Linked DNA regions of Bombyx mori. The protein of the gene in region 1 binds, or shares a complex with, the protein of each later gene. Links are inferred from orthologs where the notes say so. Each region holds a gene or a part of one and is shown in the gene's direction. Other genes may lie near its edges.

Region 1 (4,333 bases):
AATATTCCTTAAGGCTCATTTGAACTTGATAAATCACTCATCGAATTTCTCGGATAAGAATTTATTAGAAAAAATTATTAGAATAACAATTCTTAAACCGCAAGACTGACAGTACTCCTAATGCTCAATGTGAAATACTCACCCGTGCTCAGCATCAACAGTAAATCGTCTTAAAAATCTCCTAAAAAGAGGAGAACTTTTCTTAATTACTCTATTTAGCTGCATTTCATCAAAACTCACTATCTTTATAGTATTTTCAGTAACAGGAACAGTTAAGGATGCCATCTCCACATTCACAACATCTAATATTTGAGCCTTATCATTTTTCTTCTTAGATTTTTTCTTTTTTACACCTTTGATGCTAATTTTCACAGTTTCGGTAAAAAAATCATATTCGTTTATAGTTATTTCTTTTTTAGAACTTTGCACTATGTTTTGAGTATCAACGACTGCATTGATCTCATGGTACTCTTCAATCTCATCCTGGCTCTCATAACAGGTTCGAAATGTCTGCAGTTCAACATTTTCAGTCATTTCCAGTAAATCAGTTTAATAATATTTTAAAAATTTAAACCTCGATTACTTTGAGTAAAAATTGTCTCAAAGACTTTAAAAACAACTCACTTATTTGTTTCGCCGCCTACTGTTACTCATGGTTGCCATGGTAACTAAAGATTGATCCATTTTTTTTGTACTAATGTAGTAATGACTTAGAACAAAATCGCTTCAATTGCTGTCTATCGTTTGTCTAGTAAATATTTGTAAGCTTGTTTTTAGTTTTTTTCTACCTTTTTTTACCGGGCTGGGGGCCGGACAAAACGCAGCTCACCCCAAGGATGCCCGGCGATGCGAGGCTCTAAAAAAACGTTAGCCGTCACGGTACGGCAGCCCGTCGGGCCACCAGGACGGCGCCGCCGCGCCGGTGTCCCTGAATAGCCCGCTGATTTTTTTAAACCAATATAAATATAAAAATTAAATTTTATTTTGTGTAATCTACAGTTTGCATTGAAATGTCACCTTGAGGGACTTTTTGGCGGGAAGGCGAGGAGTAGAGTTGTGTGATTTGTTTTATTTTGTCTATTTAGTGTTTCCTCGGGGCTAAATGTGTAATAACGGTGGCTTATTAACTGTTTAATATCTGTGAAAGTGCACAAATGTGGGAAAATGAAACAAAGCCACTGGACATAACTTCACGGGATTTTCCAAAAAGTCCACTGAACAAATCTCAGTAAATGACCACCATTTTACTGAAATTATATTTCATCCCATATCGTGTCATCTCATCTCATTTCATTATATGCTGTGTTCCATATGAATCAACTTCGTTTCATTTCACAATATCATTTTTCATTTAAATTTAAACAATATATACATCAAAGATTAGGCTGTATGATATGACACGTTTGCCTTTCCAGTTGAAAAAATAAAACTACTACTATTACCACTGTCGTCTGTCACCTTGATAGGAGAATAATAGTGTCAACTGTCGAGGTCAAATTTCCAAAACAATGACAAATAGTTTATCATTTTATTTTAACTAATATTCTTAAATAAAAATATAAGAACATGGCCAGATTTAATTTGAAAGATAGTGATGAATATTACTTGACTCTCACCGAACAGCCCAAACGTTTTGACCCGGACTGCCCTGTGACAAATGTATTTTTTGACGACACTAATGGACAGGTAAATAAATCATGTTTTCTTAAAATAATGTAACAAATTTAAGCCAGAATGTTCGTGGAAAATTAAAAGATTATCCCCAGATTCACTTAAGTTAAGCTTGGTACCATATAAGGTACATTTAAGGACAGTATTATATATCATTCGAGTTCTACTTTATAATACAATATCACAATTTTATTTAGGTATTCACAGTACGTTCGGGTGGAATCGGAGGCGTAACCGTAAACAGTATGGATGATAGAAAGTGTACATCTTTCCAAATGGAAGACAAAGGACCCATAATATCAATTAAATTATCACCCGACCAGAAAATATTGGCGATACAACGTAATCATGAGAGTCAGAGTGCTGCAGTAGAATTCGTGAACTTCAAGGACATGTCACCTACTAATGTAGAGTACTCTCACAGCTGTAAATGGAAGAACGCAAAAATATTAGGCTTTGTTTGGCCTAAAGCAAACGAAATTGCGTTCATAACTGATCACGGTATTGAGCTGTTTCAAGTTTTACCTGAGAAAAAACAATTGAAAAGTTTGAAGAATACCACATTTAGGTAAAGCATTTTTCCTACTAAGGTGCCACTAATTATCTTCATTTGTAAGTTGAAAATTCAATTGTATAATAATATAGAGCTATTATATTCTTCATCACTACATTTCTAAAGATCCTTTTGCCTCAGCAGCTGACTTTAGAACGAACCTACAGTGTTTTCTGAGTGCCATGCTCTTCTGTAAAGCTTGAGGAGGGTCCCTAGCAGTAAGCAGAGGCTTGGTTCTGCCTAGACATCATTAACATCTACGGGAAATGATCACCATTTATTATCAGTTGGATCGTAATATACTTTGTATGTCTATAATGGTAATAAAAAAATCATAATGTCTCTAGGTGGAGAGCAGTAGACATGCAGATCTAGATAAAGAGCTATATGAAATTTAATTGGCTCTTTAAACCAAAATAGCATAACATCCGGCTACAGTCACATATTCATGTTAAAGTATGCATTGTAACATGGGGGCAAACTGAAATGCATTAGCAGACTGTGACACAAATAGTTGCATCCAGGAAACTACTTGTGTGGATTCACAATACACTATCTACAGTCGTATGTGCAACCCACAAAAACTACTGGGTAGATTTAAAATAAGATTTCTTGAATTGCGCCATAGTGCAACAACACAAAGCAGCACGATAAACAATTAGCCGCATTGTCCGCGTTTTTTTTTGTGTGTGTGTGTTTTTTTTTTTTTTTTTTTTATTTATTGCCTTGATGGGTGGACGAGCTCACAGCCCACCTGATGTTAAGTGGTTACTGGAGCCCATGGACATCTACAATATAAATGCGCCACCCACCATGAGATATAAGTTCTAAGATCTCAGTATAGTTACAACGGCTGCCCCGCCCTTCAAACCGAAACGCATCACTGCTTCACGGCAGAAATAGGCAGGGCGGTGGTACCTACCCGCGCGGACTCACAAGCGGTCCTACCACCAGTGAAAAAGAGTGTCGTTTATATGTATTAACATTTTATATTACAACACTTCCTAATAAAGATTCATTTGATTTCACAAAAATACAGAATCAGCATTGTACCCTGAAACTACAAAATTTCTCTCCATTAAATTTCAGTGGTGCGTGGTTTTCGTGGTGTCCACAAAGCAATATAGTATTGTTAGCTGGAAACAACGGAATCCTCTTGCAGCCATTTTACCTCAACAATTCTACTATAACAAAACTACAGAAGTTAGAGTGTAAGTACTGTCAACAATAAATTATTCTATTGTATCATAGATACGTGCGTGCGAAGGTGATACAAAAGGGTGGTCACAACCCTCAGCAATGAGGAATGGGACGCAAGGAGGAGGACCATAGATACAAACTCATAGTCTACCAATCACCCAAACCACAATGTGCAAGGTGTCACCCTCCTTGAGACATGAGGTCTAAGTCTCAATTGTATAGCTTAAAGGCTGATTTGGACATGCCGTATGATTTTAACACACATATGACTCAAATAAGTGTAATACACCAAAGTCGTTGAGCCAAAAGAACAAGAGTACTCCCAGTTATCAAGTCGGGGGCGATGCTGTTCTTGAAGATCTGGAGGTAGTCACCAATTTTCCTTCCAATACACACACTTGTGTGATTTGTGTTAGGAAAACGTGTAATAGACGCATGTGGAGTTATTGCTGAGGCTGCTCGAAGTGAAGGTTGCGTCCCACCCCCCCTTGACCGACTGTCTCAACCAATTTAACGTTACAATTATCTCCAGATTTACTAATTATGAACACACAAACTAATTGGAATACTAATAAAATTACAGTAGATTCAATGAGACCAGTGGTAGAAAGGGACGTCTTCCTGCTCTGCTTGTGCGACACGACATGGTGCGCTGTGTTCAGGCACGGCGTATCCGCTTCTGTTGCTGCCCCCGGGCCTACCGAGGTCAGCCTCGAAACTTTATATATTTATTTAAGCTGCGTATACGGTCACTGAACACAACAATATGGAGGACTCAGGAGGAGTTAGATTGGACCCGGTTACAGTCTCCGGCGTTGGCTACAAGTTCCGACATCAATTAATGCAAAAAGTCTGGGAAAACCACCAGAATGAATATACCAAAACTTATTTGGACAAATATGGCAACAT
Region 2 (3,670 bases), on another chromosome or scaffold:
TCAACTCGTATTTTTTCAACGAAAATGCCCAAGGGCTCTGACATAAATAGGAACATTGAATATTTTCAGTAAACACTCGGCTGGAACTTGATACGGTCAAGTCAGTGGACGCATTTATTGGGCCGCAGCTATCAGCAATAGCTTCGGCCATCAGCGAACAATGTTCATTGCACGCATTACAAGCAGCGCAACTGGCTAGCGAACACAAGTTCGTGTACTTCAACAGATTAAATTTAATTTTGAAATCATCTGTAAGTAATACTTATTTTAACGCTAAAAGTTCGACTGGCGGGGCTTTTGTGAGTTTTTTATGGGCTTCGGTGTTCCGGGCTGTTTGCGAAGAGGATATGGAAATTATGTTAACACTGATTTGGATAAGATTTTAATAGAAAGCGACACAATTAACTAAAATAAAATAAAAAAGTTGAGAAAAGTACAGACAAACTAAGATTGAAAATATTTTGCCGGTCGTATTTGCGCGCGCCGCGGGCGCGTGTTTTTTTGGCTCAGAGTTCTGTCTCAGCGGTGGGTAAGGCGGCGGCGGGGCCGGTATCGCAAGTTCAGATACATATTTGGTTACGCTATATTATTTATTTATTTATAATATTGGTGAAGGAATGAGTTTACGCTCTATCAGGTTTAAGGTGGTTACCGGAGCCGATAGACATTACAATCTTGAGGTCGTTTTCTCAAATTCTCAACTATACTGTGTAGTAGTTAACCACCTCTTTAAAAATGAAACGCATGAGTACCTACTCAGACAGACTTTACAGACAGACCGACAGATATAGGCAGGATTGTCAAATCAAGCTAGGACAACTTAAACTATGCACTTAACTTAGCAGTTAAATTTATTGGTTTATAAGTTTTATGCTAACAAAACTTATAAACCAATAAATTTTAGCAGTACCTGCTTGCTGCTGATAGTTAAGAATAAACAAAGTGATGGTAAACCATAACACAGATTTAATGTTATTTGAATTTTACGATTTCTAGTAAAACATTTCATAAATTTCAGCCACCAGTAAATAAATTGCAAATATCCGCTGCGATAAAACCTGAAGTTCTTAGTATCATGTCTGGAATTCATGCTGACCGACAAAGGTTAGTCAGTAATTAGTAAAAATAATTTTTAGTTATTGTTCTGGTCGTTCCCTCAATGCTGAGGATCGTGACTGTATGTCAATCTTCTCCACTCGGTCCGGTTCTGCGCCATATGTACCGCTCCCCATATCTGGCCTCCAGTCACCTCCTTGAGTTGGTCAACCCATCTAGCTGGCGTCCTCTAGCGCGCTTCCCCTCCATCTGTCCGAGAATTGTGAGTTTCTCCAGGCTGTGCAATGAGGATCGCATTATGTGCCCAAAGAAACTCCGGATCCTTTCCTGATGAGTTCTAATGATTTGGATGGATTCGTCGGACAACATAAGACGACAAATTTTCATTACCTACCTATTAATAACATGTCTTCTTAATAAAATAGGAAGGGGGCACCTAATTAAACATCTGAGGGTACAGAACAGCCGCTCAATGAATGGCTAAAATTACTAGTCTACCAATACTCCATTATTCTTTGGTATGAATAAAGCAGTTGTAGAAAAATTCAAATATGCACCGGTCATCGTTCTCGTCGAACTCGTCGCTTGCGACGAAGGGCTCGGCGGGTAAATTAACCCACAGACACAGCCCACTGAGTTTCTCGCCGGATCTTCTCAGTGGGTCGCGTTTCCGATCCGGTGGTAGATTCCGCGAAACATGGCTCTTGCTAGAGTTCGTGTTAGCAACAACGTCAGGTTTGAGACCCGTGAGCTCACCTACTCGCCCGGTTACGTTACGCTGAAATGGTCTCTCAAGACCTAGTCCATAAGCTTGGATAGGCCAAGAAAAAAAAACAAATATGCATGCTGAGTGAACATAATACTATTAATAAGTTGAACAAATGTGGGAAGTTCAAGAATTAAATAATAATTGTAACATATCGTTATTTAATAAACGTAAACAAAACATGCTTGCGCTCGTAAGGAACGCTTTGATGAAATTAAAACACAAAACAATAGTCAAAATTAAATATTAATATACTTGTTTTTTTTTCCTAGCCTTGGAAATTATGGAGAAATAATAATTAAAACTCCAGACGAATACTGGATAACAGGAAAATGTTCCAATGACAGAGAATTCTATGTGATAATACAAGAGAAAAATGCCAACCTTAAAGAAATAGCGGGTGCGTACTCAGTTTTACTTGGTTCAATGGAAACTTTCAAATTAAATATATTTATTTGCTACATTAACACATAATATAAACAGTGTAATATAAAATAAAATATCATGGGCATTTTTTTTATTGCATAGATGGGTGGACGAGCTCACAGCCCACCTGATGTTAAGTGGTTACAGGAGCCCATAGACATCTACAACGTAAATGCGCCACCCACCTTGAGATATAAGTTCTAGTCTCAAGTATAGTTACAACGGCTGCCCCACCCTTCAAACCGAAACGCATTACTGCTTCACGGCAGAAATAGGCAGGGTGGTGGTACCTACCCGCGTGAACTCACAAGAAGTTCTACCACCAGTAATTACGCAAATTATAATTTTGCGGGTTTGATTTTTATTCCACGATGTTATTCCTTCACCGTGGAACTCAATCGTGAACATTCGTTGAGTACGTATTTCATTAGAAAGTATTTCATTGGTACCCGCCTGAGATTCGAACACCGGTGCATCCCTCAACACGTATGCACCGGACGTCTTATCCATTAGGCCACGACGACTTTAAGTTTGTTAATTTTAATATACGTTCATTGAAATTAAATACAGTTCTCATAACTACATTCCCTTTAGTTCGCACTTCCAATATAAAATTTTCATTATTAACTAGATAACCAATAAAATATTTTATTGTATTTCTTTCTATTACAGATGAAGTGAAGCGTGTCTGTGAAGCACAAATGAAAGGGATATTCTTTTACCCTATGTAAAAAATTATTAACAGATGTACATACAAAATTTTGCTAAAAATAAAACAACACAATATTCCATGGATACTTTTTATTACTCTCGGTAGGGGTACTCATAAATATAAATATATATATTAAATTTTTGTCTGTTCACCCTTAAATATATTTTAGAAAAAGTTAACAAATAGGTAACTATTAATCAACTGACAGCTTTTCTTCCTTATTCATAATTTTTCTGTGCATCTTAACAACCAGTTCTCTGTTTTCATAGCCCCAAGCTATCAATACACATAGCAGCATAATTCCGCCCACTAATATGTGGAGTAATATAAAAGAAGGGAATAAGCGAATTTCAGATATTTTACATACAAAACCAGCAATGAACAATGTTGATAAAAATATTTTGCCAACAAGCAAGCCATTCAAAGGCTTATATTCCGTATCTTTATATTTGTTCCTTATAAAATGAATACTGTGCATTATCCTAGCAAACATATTTATACAGTTTGAAATGATGAATCCTATAGGACCAAAAATATATGTCAAACAATATGACAAAACTAAGAAACTTACAGAGAAAATTACCATTAAATAGTTATAGCTATTTAACTGGCTACTAGTCATTGTGGCAAATGAATAGCATTCAGTAACTCCATTAATAGCTAACAAAACAATTGCCAAACAATGACTTCTCAGCAATTGTACAGGCAAT

The links. The genes of interacting proteins can lie anywhere in the genome.
Region 2: the proteins of regulator of MON1-CCZ1 complex (region 1) and vacuolar fusion protein CCZ1 homolog are in contact, whole or in part, in a cryo-EM structure (PDB 8JBE), measured with the Drosophila melanogaster proteins. The link is inferred for Bombyx mori from reciprocal best matches to the Drosophila melanogaster genes Bulli and Ccz1. Residues at the interface, in NP_648047.2 of Drosophila melanogaster: Tyr395, Gly397, Phe407, Tyr464, Ser467, Met470, Leu471, Gln474, Asn477, Asn498, Arg499, Asp502, Thr503, Arg505, Arg506, Leu507, Tyr510, Met512, Asp530, Thr531, Ala532, Gln535, Ile538, Asp539, Arg543, His547, Ile550, Lys559, Asp562, Leu566; in NP_647835.1 of Drosophila melanogaster: Tyr188, Leu189, Pro190, Leu191, Asp192, Lys193, Thr194, Phe196, Leu197, Arg198, Gln200, Asn201, Glu207, Val223, Leu224, Cys225, Gly226, Lys228, Tyr342, Asn385, Gln387, Ser388, Pro427, Ala428, Asn447, Tyr448, Arg449, Asp479, Phe483, Lys485.

What each region holds. Positions count from the first base shown.
Region 1 is NC_085117.1:6,360,575-6,364,907, reverse strand, and holds the start of regulator of MON1-CCZ1 complex, read left to right. Parts: upstream 1-1,457; 5' UTR 1,458-1,566; coding exon 1,567-1,686; intron 1,687-1,868; coding exon 1,869-2,239; intron 2,240-3,313; coding exon 3,314-3,435; intron 3,436-4,007; coding exon 4,008-4,129; intron 4,130-4,333. Other genes in the region: protein CC2D2B, read right to left, coding at 143-534. UniProt on the Drosophila melanogaster protein: Positive regulator of the Rab7 guanyl-nucleotide exchange activity of the Mon1-Ccz1 complex, possibly by enhancing its endosomal membrane association.
Region 2 is NC_085114.1:10,377,941-10,381,610, forward strand, and holds the end of vacuolar fusion protein CCZ1 homolog, read left to right. Parts: intron 1-69; coding exon 70-251; intron 252-1,018; coding exon 1,019-1,104; intron 1,105-2,094; coding exon 2,095-2,222; intron 2,223-2,920; coding exon 2,921-2,979; 3' UTR 2,980-3,039; downstream 3,040-3,670. Other genes in the region: protein RFT1 homolog, read right to left, coding at 3,154-3,670. UniProt on the Drosophila melanogaster protein: Part of the Mon1-Ccz1 guanyl-nucleotide exchange factor complex specific for Rab7 that promotes the exchange of GDP to GTP, converting Rab7 from an inactive GDP-bound form into an active GTP-bound form.